Linked DNA regions of Sus scrofa. The protein of the gene in region 3 binds, or shares a complex with, the protein of the main gene of each other region. Links are inferred from orthologs where the notes say so. Each region holds a gene or a part of one and is shown on either strand. Other genes may lie near its edges.

Region 1 (3,667 bases), on a different chromosome or scaffold from region 3:
GGAATCAAAGGAGGGGAGAGCAGGGAGTGATAGATGAAATATTTGGGGATCACGACTTCTGCCCATCTTCCCTAACGCTCCTATCCTGGGTCTCCCCCCGTCATGACCCAGCAGGACTGGTGGGTAGAAAGAAAGAGAAAAAGAGAAAACAGACTAGAGACAACCTTTGCCTAGACCTGGAAGCCGTCTTCTTGGTCATATGAAAACAACCCGTCCAGATGTTTTACCCATTTGGCAGCCACTCAGCTAACCCTCGTGATGACACCCACTTGGCTGCCACACCAGCAGGGCGCTTTTCTCCACCAGAGGAGACGCAAGGAGGGAGAACGCGGCCAATGGCTCCAGCTCCCACGGGTGGCTGGGGCCCACGTCAACACAGCTCTCCCAGGGACACAAAACCACACCTGTGGCCTCGCTCCTACCCCCTTTCCTCACTGCCCACCCGTCCTCGCCTTGGCCTCCTTGCCCAGCACCTGTTTCCAGGTGTGAGTTAGCACCATGCCTTCCCCTGCCCAGCTCCAAGGGCAGAAGCCCTGCAGCAGGAGGAATCAGGAGGGCTGCCCCTGATGCCCAGGAAACAATGCAGCCCAGCTGCATTCCTGGATGCAGGTAAGAAGGGGAACGAGCAGCCCCTTGTCCAGAGCTCAGCTGTCCCCGGATCCCTGTGACCAGCAGGAGGTTTGAACAGGTGGCACGTTTGTACTGGCTCACCTCCCTAGCTGAGGGAAGATCCTACCTGATAAAGACCCTAAGGTCACTGCCATGGTAACAGCCTCATCTTTCCTGGGGATACAGATGGGGGGATCCTGGAAGCACCCAGAAGGCCACCCCCCTCACCCTGCTGCAACCAACAGACCCACCCGCAGGCTCAGCTGCCCTCAATCTCTGGCTGGGATCAAAGAGCCTGCATGGGAGCTGGAATTCTCAAGGATCGGTTCCCTACTTCCGGGATAATGGGAACGATGTTCTCTTCTTAGGCGGCTCCAAACTTAGAGACCCCAGGGGAAACATGACCCACAACACACCTTGCCAGCATACAAACAGACAAACGACAGCTAGGACACACCCTAGCAGCAGTGATGCTCCTGCGGCCCATCAGCTCAACCCATTAAGCTGGATAATTGGGCCTCACAGAAACCCAAGGAACTAGAAAACCAGGACTGGCTCGGTTGTTTACCTCCCCAGGGCTTAGGGCTTCAGTTACCCTAACACAGCTCTTGGGACACCTACCATGCAAATGCTTCCACCAGGTGGAATGTTGGGGGGGGGAAGAGGGGGAAACTCGCTAAGAAGTAAGGGCTCTGAGGACTTAACTACTGACTAAGGAGAGAGAAAGAGTTCCCTGAGTCTGACCAGAAACCGCTGCCCTCCCCCACTTCTCCCTAACCTTGACCTACAAGGCTGTTAAAGTAGCGAGCAAGACCTCTAGCCCTCCCTGGTATTTTGCCCAGGAGCGCCAAGAGCCTTGCTGAGTCCCAGATCATCCCATACTCCTTCCTGGCTGTAACAGGGCATCCAACAAAGCCTGATGACTCTAGGAAGGACTCAGACCTATGACTTAACCGATTCCCAGGGAAGCTTCTTTCTGCAGCCTGAAACACTAGATGCCCTGAAAGCAGAATACCCCAGGAGACGCCCCCCCCCACCCCCAACAGACAGATGAGGTCAATAAACTAAGAAAATGACAGGCAGCAAGAAGCACTCTTGAGGCTTCTGTGTGACTAAGGCTACATATCACTTCCATTAGTGAAATAACCAACTTCCCCCAGCCCAGACGGGAGAAGTGGGGAGAAGCTGGCAAAGACAGAAAAGTGTACATACAGCAGCTGAGGCTGAAAAGTTCTACTGCCATAGCTGGCAGGTGGCTGTTCGCGTCAGTCCCTGATGTGGTTTCATAACCTGCCTCAAACCAGAGCCTGCAGCAACTCTGTTCTGTTAACCACTTTCTCGCTGGTAGTTCTTTCCTACTCCTTCCCTCTCTTCCCCTCTTGCTCTGAACACAAATATCCCTGCCCAGCCTGTCAGACACCTAAGCCAAGGCCACAGTGCCAGCAGCCAGGTGAGCACTTTCGAGTCTCTCCCCCAAGTCAGGGCAGCAAATCTTTCTCTGGGTGAGGAGCACAAAGCATCCAAGCCTGCAACCTGGACCCCAGCGGGGAGTCCCTGGCAGCACGCCAGAATGCCATTCTCATTCTGCCCACCCCCTAACCCGGAGGGCTACCGTCGCTCGCTTACCTCTCAGCTCTGGCCCTGCCTCCGGGACTCTGGGGGGCAGTGGGAACGGAAAGATGTCGAGTACAGCAGCGAACCCCTAACTAGCAAGGGGAGAGGGCGAAGCGAGGAGGCGGAGTCCTTACTATTGTTGGGGTTTTTCTGAGTGAGACTGCAAGCCGAAATGGGGGGCCTCCGCTCCGTTCCCCAGCCTGGGACCTCTCACTCGGAGCCTGGCCCGGCCTGGAGCCCCACCCCCCGCGTTCACCCAGCCCTGGAAGCTGCCAAACCTTTATCCCCAAAGCCCAGCTGCTCCCCGCCCCCCACCCCCAGCCCGAGCGCTCCTCCTCGACGCTCCATCCCCGGCCTCCAGTCCCCACTTGCCCTTTTCCCCATCCCTTCGAGTGATGCACCCTTCTCGGCTGATGCACCCCCTCAACCTCCGCTCAGCCAGTCCGGGACCCCTCCAGTCCCAGACGCCTCCTTAACAGCCCCCACCTTCTTTCCCGTCCCGCCTGCTAGCCCCCGGAGGCTCCCGGTTAAGCCACTTGGAGGCCGCTCCTCCGGACTCACCGTGCGGGGCCGGACGTCGAGGGCCCGGGAGGGGTGCCCGGGGGCGGGGGCCGCTGCTGCTCCAGCAGCTGTAATAACCCGCGGCGGCAGCCACCCCGCTGGCAGCTCGGGCCGAATCAGCGCCCGGCGCCGGCCCCCATTACGTCACCGCTCAGCGCCTGCCCGCCCGACGCCTCCTGGGAGTTGTAGTTTTTCTCCCCTGCTCCAGCCCAGGCCGCTGGGGCCGCACGGAGGTTTTTAATAGTACGTGCGCGTCACAAAGTTCAGATGGTATCGCCTTGGCGCATAACAATTCCTGCCTTGGCATCCGCGCTCCTGTGGAAATCACTCTTGCCGGGTTTTGCAGATGAAGAAACTTGGAGTTTTAAGTAACTTGCCATAGGTCCCTGCTCGCCCCCAAGCTGGACCCGAACCCAGAAATTCTGACCCCAAGTCAGATATTTTCAATTCCACCTCTCTGCCTCTGCCCTGGCCCTCCGTCAAACGACTAGCCTAGCTGTTTGCCTTGCTGGGCCCTCCTGGAAGCGGGTTTTTTCACGATGTTTTTTAGGATAAGAGTCTGGCGGGTAGAGAACGCAGTCTGTGGGCAGACTGTCTCCTGCTCAGTTGCCTCTGACCCGGGCTGGCCTGGGACCGGCCACATCCTGGGCTTCACCACATTAGATGTGGGAAGAGGACATGTGACTTGGGAAGACTCCCTGCTGAATAACTACAACCCTGAGTCCCAGTCCCAAGTCAGCTGTGTGGTTTGGGGTGGGAGGGTCTCTAGTCTGTAGTTTTCACATCTGCAGGCTCTAAAGGCTAAAGCACAGGTTTCTCCTGGCACAGATTTACCAGGTAGACTTATCAGGCACTCCTCACCACCTGCATAACCCTAGGCCAA
Region 2 (3,743 bases), about 35 Mb from region 3:
TTACAGAATAAAACTTTTTTTATTTTTAAAAAAAAGGATAAAATAACTTTTATTTATGCTTACAAGGGGTTTTTTGGGGAGGGGGGTTTTGTTTGTTTCTGTCTTTTTAGGGTCATACCCACGGCACATGGAGGTTCCCACAGCCTGGGTAGAATCGGAGGTGTAGCTGCCGGCCTATGCTACAGCCACAGCAACACAGGATTCGAGTCTGTCTGTGACCTACACCACAGCTCACGGCAACGCCGGATCCTTAACCCACTGAGCTCCTTAACCGGCTGAGCGAAGCCAGGGATCGAACCCACATGCTCATGAATCCTAGTCTCATTCCTTAACAGCTCAGCCACTACACTCCTATGCTTGCAAGTATTATAACAAAGTATTTTCAATTCTCCACTTCCCCTCAACAGCATGGTTACAATGTTACTCAGTGAGGCCCTCAGGGAGTGTCTCACTGGTTACAAAACCTGGTCTTTTCCTTTCCCAGGGATGGCTGCCAGCAGAGAAAGGGGACTTCTGAAACATGTTAAAAACTCCCCCTCCAGAGGCGAAAGTCAATAGGACCACGAGGTTGCGGGTTGGATCCCTGGCCTCGCTGTGTTAAGGATCCGCTGTTGCTATAACTGTGGTGTAGGTCACAGAGGCAGCTCCAATCCTGTGGCTCTGGCATAGGCCAGCAGCTGTAGCTCTGATTAGACCCTTAGCCTGGGAACCTCCATATGGCGTGGGTGTGGCCCTAAAGAGACAAAAAAGAAAAGAAAAGAAAAAGAGAGATGCTCTACATTTCAGTATACAGTTTACTATACATTTTACAAAGAGGTCCTCATTAGCTCCAACCTATAGAACTTAGAGTGAAACTGAACTGTAGTAACAAATAAATGGTGTAGAAAATTAGAGCATACTTTACCTTCAAACTTTAAATCCAAAACATGCATTCTGGTTCTTAAATTCCAGGTTTGTAAAGAAATGTCAACAATAATAAAACTAAGTTTGCTTGTAAGCAGCTAAGATACCTCAGAAGTGGTGAAACAAAAGACTCTGCTTTTAGTGCAATCTTATGCCTGTTTAATATAAATAAACACACTGATTAAGCCTTGGAATGAAATTACCTCAGTCATTCTACCACAATGCAATAATGCATTTGCAAAGTTGTTCAAAGTTGTTCTGAAGCTACTCCAAACTAAACCACATTGAAGAGGAGAGGCCCTATAGGAAGCAAGCATGCTACGTAAATTATGTTCCTCATTGGCCCCCAAGTTAAAAAAAAAAAAGTTACATCTAATTATTAGTGTTTATTCTAGAATAATATCAAAGGATCTCAACACAGACAAGTGGAGACACTTCGGGAAGCATTTCTTCACAACCTTGAGTTATTAACTGAGGTTATGAAAGTTAGATGCCTTAAGATAACAGGCAAACTGCTTAGCAGAGTTGCTTGGCTCACAGTAAACGCTCAATAGTCGGACAAGTAGTTATTGGCGATCTATTAAACGGTTTCAAACACTACCTACAACTAACCACAAATTCCTTTCGAGCTTGACTGCTAAGAACTGTGCAAATGGCAAATTAACGAGTAGAATGCACTTTTTAAACTAACCATCATGAAGACCAAATAGGTACAATTTAAAAAATTGCTTTCTAAAACTATATTGGGACGCCATGAACACAAATTCACAACCGGATTTAAAAGCTGATAAACTGGTTAGCATTTTCATTAGAACTAAAGCCAGGTAAATCAGGGACAGTTAAAGGTCAAAGCCGTCCGAGCCGGGAGCAATCTGCTCCACTTACACCTCCCACAAGAACAGGAGACTGAACCAAAGGATGCCACGGCTGAAGTGCAAGGGTAGGCACACCAGGCACACATCGCCGGAGGGGAATCTCCTCCACTAATAAAGACGCTTCTATTTCGGGTCAAGTGACTCATCCGCGACCTCGGATCTCAAGAGTTCCCGCCGCCTCCCCACCCCCCACCACCGCAGGAGCGTCACCCTCGGCGCCGAGACCTCGGCTCCGCGTGCCCGCCACGAAGAAACGAGTCGGTGCGCGGCTCCCGCGGGGCCGCCTCTCCGCCCTCCCGCCGCCCCCCTACCACCCAGCCCTCCAGGGCCTGGGCCCCGGGAGGATGCGGCCCCGGCTCCGCGCCCCCACCGGGCCCCGAGGCCCGGGCAGGATACTGAACACAGTCCGCTCCCACGGCTCCAGCATGTAGAGCGCCGTGACCAGCAGGTACTGGTAGTAGAACCAGGACATTTGCTTCCAGGCCCGCGCCAGCGCCATCCCGGACAAACCGCCACCCGCGTTGCAGCTGAACGTCAGTCTGTCCGGCCGGCCTCCCGTGCGCGCCCTAAACCCCCGGCCACCAGGCCCGCCCGCCCGCCACCCCGCGCCCATTGGCCCGCCCGGCCCGGCGCGTCACCCGTGGGCACGCCCAGCTCCGCGCGCGCTCGGACCGCCGGCCGCGAGCCCCGCCCTGCCGGCGCTCATTGGCCAGGCCTCGGCCTCGCGCCGTGTCCGCCCCCTCGGTGTTTCCGCCCTCCCCGGGCCGCGCCCACGCGAGCCGGAGAACTGTCCCCGCGAGAGCGCCCCGCCGGGCCCCGCCCGGCCCAGCCTCGAGCGGTAGTTGGTGGGCGGGGCGTTGTGCCCACTGGGGGCGGGCGCTGGCTCCCTTGTACGGTGGGTCCACCCAAGTCTTGCCCAGAAACAAGGGTCGAAGAAATATTTGTGAAATACCAGTGATGCCTTAGGCGTCCTACTGGGCTGGAGGATTACTAGTGTGAACAGGAACGTAATACGTTCCTTACCTCGTCGGGTACGGTTTACCATCTAGCGAGGGAGACAAGCGGTCAGCACACACATGCAATCAGAGCTGTGATCAGTGCAGAGAAGGAGAATAAGGTGCTCGGAGAGGATGCAGAGGTGAATAGAACCCGGTCAACGAAGTTAGGGAAGGCATCTGAGAAAAAGAGATGAACCCTTGACCCTCTTCCTCCCTCCCCATGCACACATGCACTCAGACACACAAAAACACCCACATAGACCGACATCTGTGCATTCCTGAACCTAAAGACAAAAGAGATTACCCTAAATACATCTATCTGTTCACTTCTTTTAGTGTTTCTAGGTGCTATGTAGGTCAAGGCCAGGAGAAAGACGCAGATCTTGTGGGTTCTGCAGGCGACAGGCCGCTTGCAGTCTGTCTGTAGGCAGGTACCTCCAGGAGATTTGCCCTTAAATGTTCAGGTTTTTCCACTGGCAAATGAGCCAGCAACAATGCACTCACCTTCAGGAATGAAGACGCACAGTTAGTGAGATAATTAAATGGCCTGTCATTGAAATGTTAAAAGTTTTCTAAATAGCCTTTTGCTTAAACTTTTAAAACTTTACTGGTTGATAACTATTTATGCATTTAGACTGCTGTCGAGCTAAACATAAGGGATAGAAAGACAGACAGACTGAGATCTGCCTTCATAAATTACCTGGTCTACCAGGGAAGAGAAGCAAGTTAACGGATTACAGTGAATTGTTGTAAAGGGTATTTTTATGTTATGTGTAGAATGCTATGATAGCCCAGAGAAAATGAAATTGGTATTGTAAAAGTCTTCTGGGTTTTTTTGTTTGCTTGCTTTCTGTTTTTGTCTTTTTAGGGCCACACCCACTACATGTGGAGGTTCCCAGGCTAGGGGTTAAATGGGAGGTGCAGCTGCTGGCCTGTGCCACAGCCACAGCAACGCCAGATCCAAGCC
Region 3 (3,743 bases):
TATCTCAGGTTTAAAAACCACTTTACACTGTTTTAGTAAAAGTACACACACCTGTGCACTTAACATCATATGTGTATTTTTATGGCATAACTGGCAACATTTCCCTCAGAAACTGGGGGAAAAAAAATAGAGCTTGGAACACTAGCACATCATCTTAATTAAGACAAAAACAACTTTAAAAAATATTTTTAAGATATTCTTGCATTGATGAAGTTTCTTTTGCTTAAGAAAAAAGAAGGAGGGAGGAGTTCCCTTCGTGGCAGTGTTTAACGAACCTGAGTAGAATCCATGAGGTTGCTGGTTTGATCCTTGGCCTCGTTCATTAGGTTAAGGATCCGGCATTATCGTGGTGTAGGTGACAGACCTGGCTCAGATCTGGCAGTGCTGTGGCTGTGGTGTAGGCCGGCAGCTGTAGCTCCTATTCAACCCCTAGCCTAGAAACTTTCATATGCTGTGGGTAGGGCCCTAAAAAGCAAAAAGAAAAAAAGAAGGGGGAGGGAATACCCCCACAGACTACATTCCTCGCATTAGTGTACAAAGCTACATACCTAAAGTCTTTGTTTTAAAAAGACGTTTGAGAAATGGTTTTCTAGAAGAGATGCTGCAGCCCTAAACATTCTTTAGGACATTCCACCAGACCATTCTTCCAAATGGCCTTCAGTGAAAATTTTCACTAACATTTATTTTAAAAAGTCAGATTTTCCAGTTACATAGATTTTTAAAGTTCATTTTAGCCACCTGCTATTTCTTCATCTTATCAGTCAGCAATCTCTGAAGAAATGTCCTGCCCACCAATGCTAAAAAAACTGTTCAGGATTATGGGAGGGAGGAGTCTGATTTACCAACTCAGAACATAAGTATGTTAAGTGAAAAGAGCATTTAAACGTGAAGTACCTCTAGTGCATGAACACCTTTCTCTTGATTCCCTTTTCCCTCTTAAGAATAACCTATGTACTGGCCTGCATTGCATTTTCTGACACCGTTAGGTTTCCCTCTTACAGTGTCTACCACAACAATTCTGTCTTATTAGCCATTTACGTTGCTAGGAAAACAACTTCTCCCATGGCTTATAATGAGCTGATTCTTATCACTTCCTGTCTCACGCTATTATCTCTTCAAAAATGAAAATAAATGTCCCGAAGTTGTGTATCACACTGCCTCACGCCTTACAACTTCAAAGGAGGTCAAGTCTCTTTCTTGTATTTCCCTTCAACTCTTACGGTCTTCATATCTCAACAAGATCGGGAGAAATGCTCTATTTTTTTGTTTCACACCAAACAGTATCTATCATACCTCCTGAGGTATGACTGAGGGAGGAGGCTGCCAGATACTTATGGTAATGCCAAATTCTAGTACAACAGTTACACTTCCTGCTATGGGGAACAGACTACTTTTGAAAAAAATGATTTCCTTAATATCTGAGAGAGCTCTTTATAAGTGTTAAAGTCAATTGCAAATTTCATACCCTCCTTTCCACCAACACTGATCTTGCATCTTTTTAACCACCTCGTCTTTAAAAACCATTTCAACAAAATAACTGTCAGTCCAGAGAAGTGGAAAGTTGGTAATGATTGCCTTGAAGTCAGAACTTTTCAAAATATTTCAGAACAGCTTGGATTTCGTTGGTGATTCAGCCTTGGTTAATTAACAGAAAGATTCATCACAAGTCGCCATCAGGCTAAACAATCCCCTTGCGTGACGGCGCTCTTGCTCAAAGGGTCAAAAAGGACCACCTGGTCCCCAGGATGGGCTCTCACCTCGGGCCAAGATCATAATGCTTTTGAGGCACTGGCCCGGGTTCAAGGGCAGATTGGTGGTTGAACGTCCTGCTTGTAGAAGAGGGTAGTTACGTGGTAGGAGAAGACAGGGTGTGTTTCCGCCCGGTACCACCTCCTAACTTTCTCTGCCTCCCAAGGACCCTAAACGAGGTTTTCCCTTGAGGGCTTCATGGCTCTAGGAGGAAGCAACTACCTGAAGGGCATAGAAGGGAGTCTTGGGAGAAAAAAATCTACAGCCCACGAGTGGATCCTCCCGGTGTCGGAGAAAGCACTCCCTGCTTCTCCTGGGGGACGGCCCCACTTCTGGCGGGATTGGGTAGAGGAAGCAGAGCCCAAACCTCCCTAGGGCGGAGAGGAAGACCTCAGGCGCTGAGAGATAGGAGAGCCCCTGCGCCGCCCTTGAGCCTTCCGGCCCGGGGCAGGCCCGGTCAGTGCCAGGACACGGCCGCTAGCACACCTGAGCAGCGCCCGCTCCCGCTGAGGGTCACCGCGACCTCGCCCGGCCGGGGCACCTCTCCGCACGGGGCAGCTCGCGGTGTCCCCACCCACCGCCCCCGGCCCGGCCGCCTGGTCCCACGTACCTGGCCGGCAGCGGCTGCGGCGGCAGCGGCGCTGCTCCTCACGTACCCGTTCCGCACCTCCCCGTTCGCCACGCAGCCGTTCGCCCGCACCGGGCGACGGCAGCAGCCTTCGGGACCCGACCGCATCATCCCAGCAGCACCAAGCGCGAGGCAGGATCTGTACGCGGCGGGCAAAGCAGCGGCGGCTCCAAGTCCCGCTCCGCACCCCTCCCACCACCCCGAAACCGGAAATGGCTGCACGCCGCAGCCAATTCCCTGCCGGGCCGTCACGGGGGGGCGGGGCCCGTTCCCTCCCAGGCTGCGACTCGCCCTAGACCGAGCCCGGGAGCGGGAGACTGGGCGGGGAGCGCGGGAGGGTGGTGAGCCTGAGGACTGCTGGCCAATCGAGGAGGCGGAGGCGGACCCCGGATTCCTGTCTGGCCAATCACCGGCGAGAATAAAGCGGCTGGCAGGTGTCGAGGGTGTGTTCCATAGGGGCCCTTCAACCTGACATCCCCGCTGAGCCCGAGTGTTTAGAGCAGGTTCCCTCTTCTTCAGGGCAGGTCAGTGCCAGGACACGGCCCTCTCTGCCCTTGCCTCCGGGGAAGTTCTCGGGTTTGAATCCCAGCCTGAGACAGGGCTTTTTTATTTAATTTGCGAATTCTGTGTTTTTATAGAATGCACTTTTTGATATTCCCTCACCATTCTTCAGTAACCGCTGTACATTAATACATTTTTTAAGTAATAACTCAAATGTCTCTTTGCCCTTCGCATCTGTCCCTATCAGGGTTTCTGTACAATTTCCTTAAAAGAACACTTCCTTGAAAGTCAAGAAACTGGCCTTATTCCAGCTCTGCCAGTAACCGGAAGCTAAACCTTGAGTATTTAACCACTTTGGGAGCCAAATCCTTTAAAATGGAGTTAATACTTCCTGCTTCATAGACATTGCAAGAATTATATTAATAAGGCATTGTGCATCTGTCACATATGTGGCCCATACCAGAAGCATAATATATATATTATATTATATTATATATATATTATTCTATATATAACTATATTTAGTTATATTTATATATTTATATATTTATATTTAGTTATTAAAAAATAAGGAAATGGATCTACATTATAGCAAGCAAACTTTTGGTTACCCATAAAGAATTTAGTGTCACATTTAAGAATATGGAATAAGAGTCAGTCTGGATTTGAATCCTGGCTTGTGCCACTTACTAGCTAAGTGACCTCTATTTGTCTTCATCTGTTCAATGGAGATAATGGTAATTGTCCTGAGGATTTAATGAGTTAATACATGCTGTGTATTTTGTACGGGACCTAGCAATTAGTAAACATTTCTAAGTGTTAATTATTATTAATTGCTCAATGGACCCTTTCGCCTGCATTCCTC

The links.
Region 1: the proteins of SPTLC2 (region 3) and ORMDL3 are in contact, whole or in part, in a cryo-EM structure (PDB 7K0O), measured with the Homo sapiens proteins. The link is inferred for Sus scrofa from reciprocal best matches to the Homo sapiens genes SPTLC2 and ORMDL3. Residues at the interface, in NP_004854.1 of Homo sapiens: Glu65, Thr66, Pro67, Met68, Ala71, Val72, Tyr75, Tyr86, Gln116, Phe118, Glu119, Asn120, Phe121, Tyr122, Tyr127, Trp134, Asp259, Glu260, Leu261, Asn262, Val267, Arg271, Ile279, Met320, Val495, Val496, Gly497, Phe498, Pro499, Ala500; in NP_001307730.1 of Homo sapiens: Met1, Asn2, Val3, Gly4, Thr5, Ala6, His7, Ser8, Pro12, Val16, Ser19, Arg20, Gly21, Ile22, Leu24, Ser25, Leu28, Phe63, Val67, Lys68, Gly69, Thr70, Pro71, Phe72, Glu73, Pro75, Gln77, Arg81.
Region 2: the proteins of SPTLC2 (region 3) and SPTSSA are in contact, whole or in part, in a cryo-EM structure (PDB 7K0K), measured with the Homo sapiens proteins. The link is inferred for Sus scrofa from reciprocal best matches to the Homo sapiens genes SPTLC2 and SPTSSA. Residues at the interface, in NP_004854.1 of Homo sapiens: Leu73, Gly77, Val80, Leu81, Phe84, Leu87, Arg88, Leu91, Leu126, Arg129, Ile130, Tyr156, Met475, Pro476, Ala477, Lys478, Gly480, Ala481, Arg484, Glu485, Asp533, Leu534, Leu535, Gln536; in NP_612145.2 of Homo sapiens: Trp15, Tyr18, Gln19, Leu21, Leu22, Val23, Thr24, Ala25, Tyr27, Met28, Leu29, Glu30, Pro31, Trp32, Glu33, Val36, Phe37.

The regions. Positions count from the first base shown.
Region 1 is NC_010454.4:22,410,397-22,414,063, reverse strand, and holds the start of ORMDL3 (ORM1-like protein 3), read right to left. Parts: upstream 2,935-3,667; 5' UTR 2,785-2,934; exon of another isoform or gene 2,710-2,784; intron 2,618-2,709; exon of another isoform or gene 2,596-2,617; intron 2,482-2,595; exon of another isoform or gene 2,358-2,481; intron 2,316-2,357; exon of another isoform or gene 2,236-2,315; intron 1,845-2,235; exon of another isoform or gene 1,822-1,844; intron 1-1,821. UniProt on the Homo sapiens protein: Plays an essential role in the homeostatic regulation of sphingolipid de novo biosynthesis by modulating the activity of the serine palmitoyltransferase (SPT) in response to ceramide levels.
Region 2 is NC_010449.5:65,301,539-65,305,281, reverse strand, and holds the start of SPTSSA (serine palmitoyltransferase small subunit A), read right to left. Parts: upstream 2,396-3,743; 5' UTR 2,392-2,395; coding exon 2,175-2,391; intron 1-2,174. UniProt on the Homo sapiens protein: Component of the serine palmitoyltransferase multisubunit enzyme (SPT) that catalyzes the initial and rate-limiting step in sphingolipid biosynthesis by condensing L-serine and activated acyl-CoA (most commonly palmitoyl-CoA) to form long-chain bases.
Region 3 is NC_010449.5:100,636,384-100,640,126, forward strand, and holds the start of SPTLC2 (serine palmitoyltransferase 2), read right to left. Parts: upstream 2,591-3,743; 5' UTR 2,489-2,590; coding exon 2,360-2,488; intron 1-2,359. UniProt on the Homo sapiens protein: Component of the serine palmitoyltransferase multisubunit enzyme (SPT) that catalyzes the initial and rate-limiting step in sphingolipid biosynthesis by condensing L-serine and activated acyl-CoA (most commonly palmitoyl-CoA) to form long-chain bases.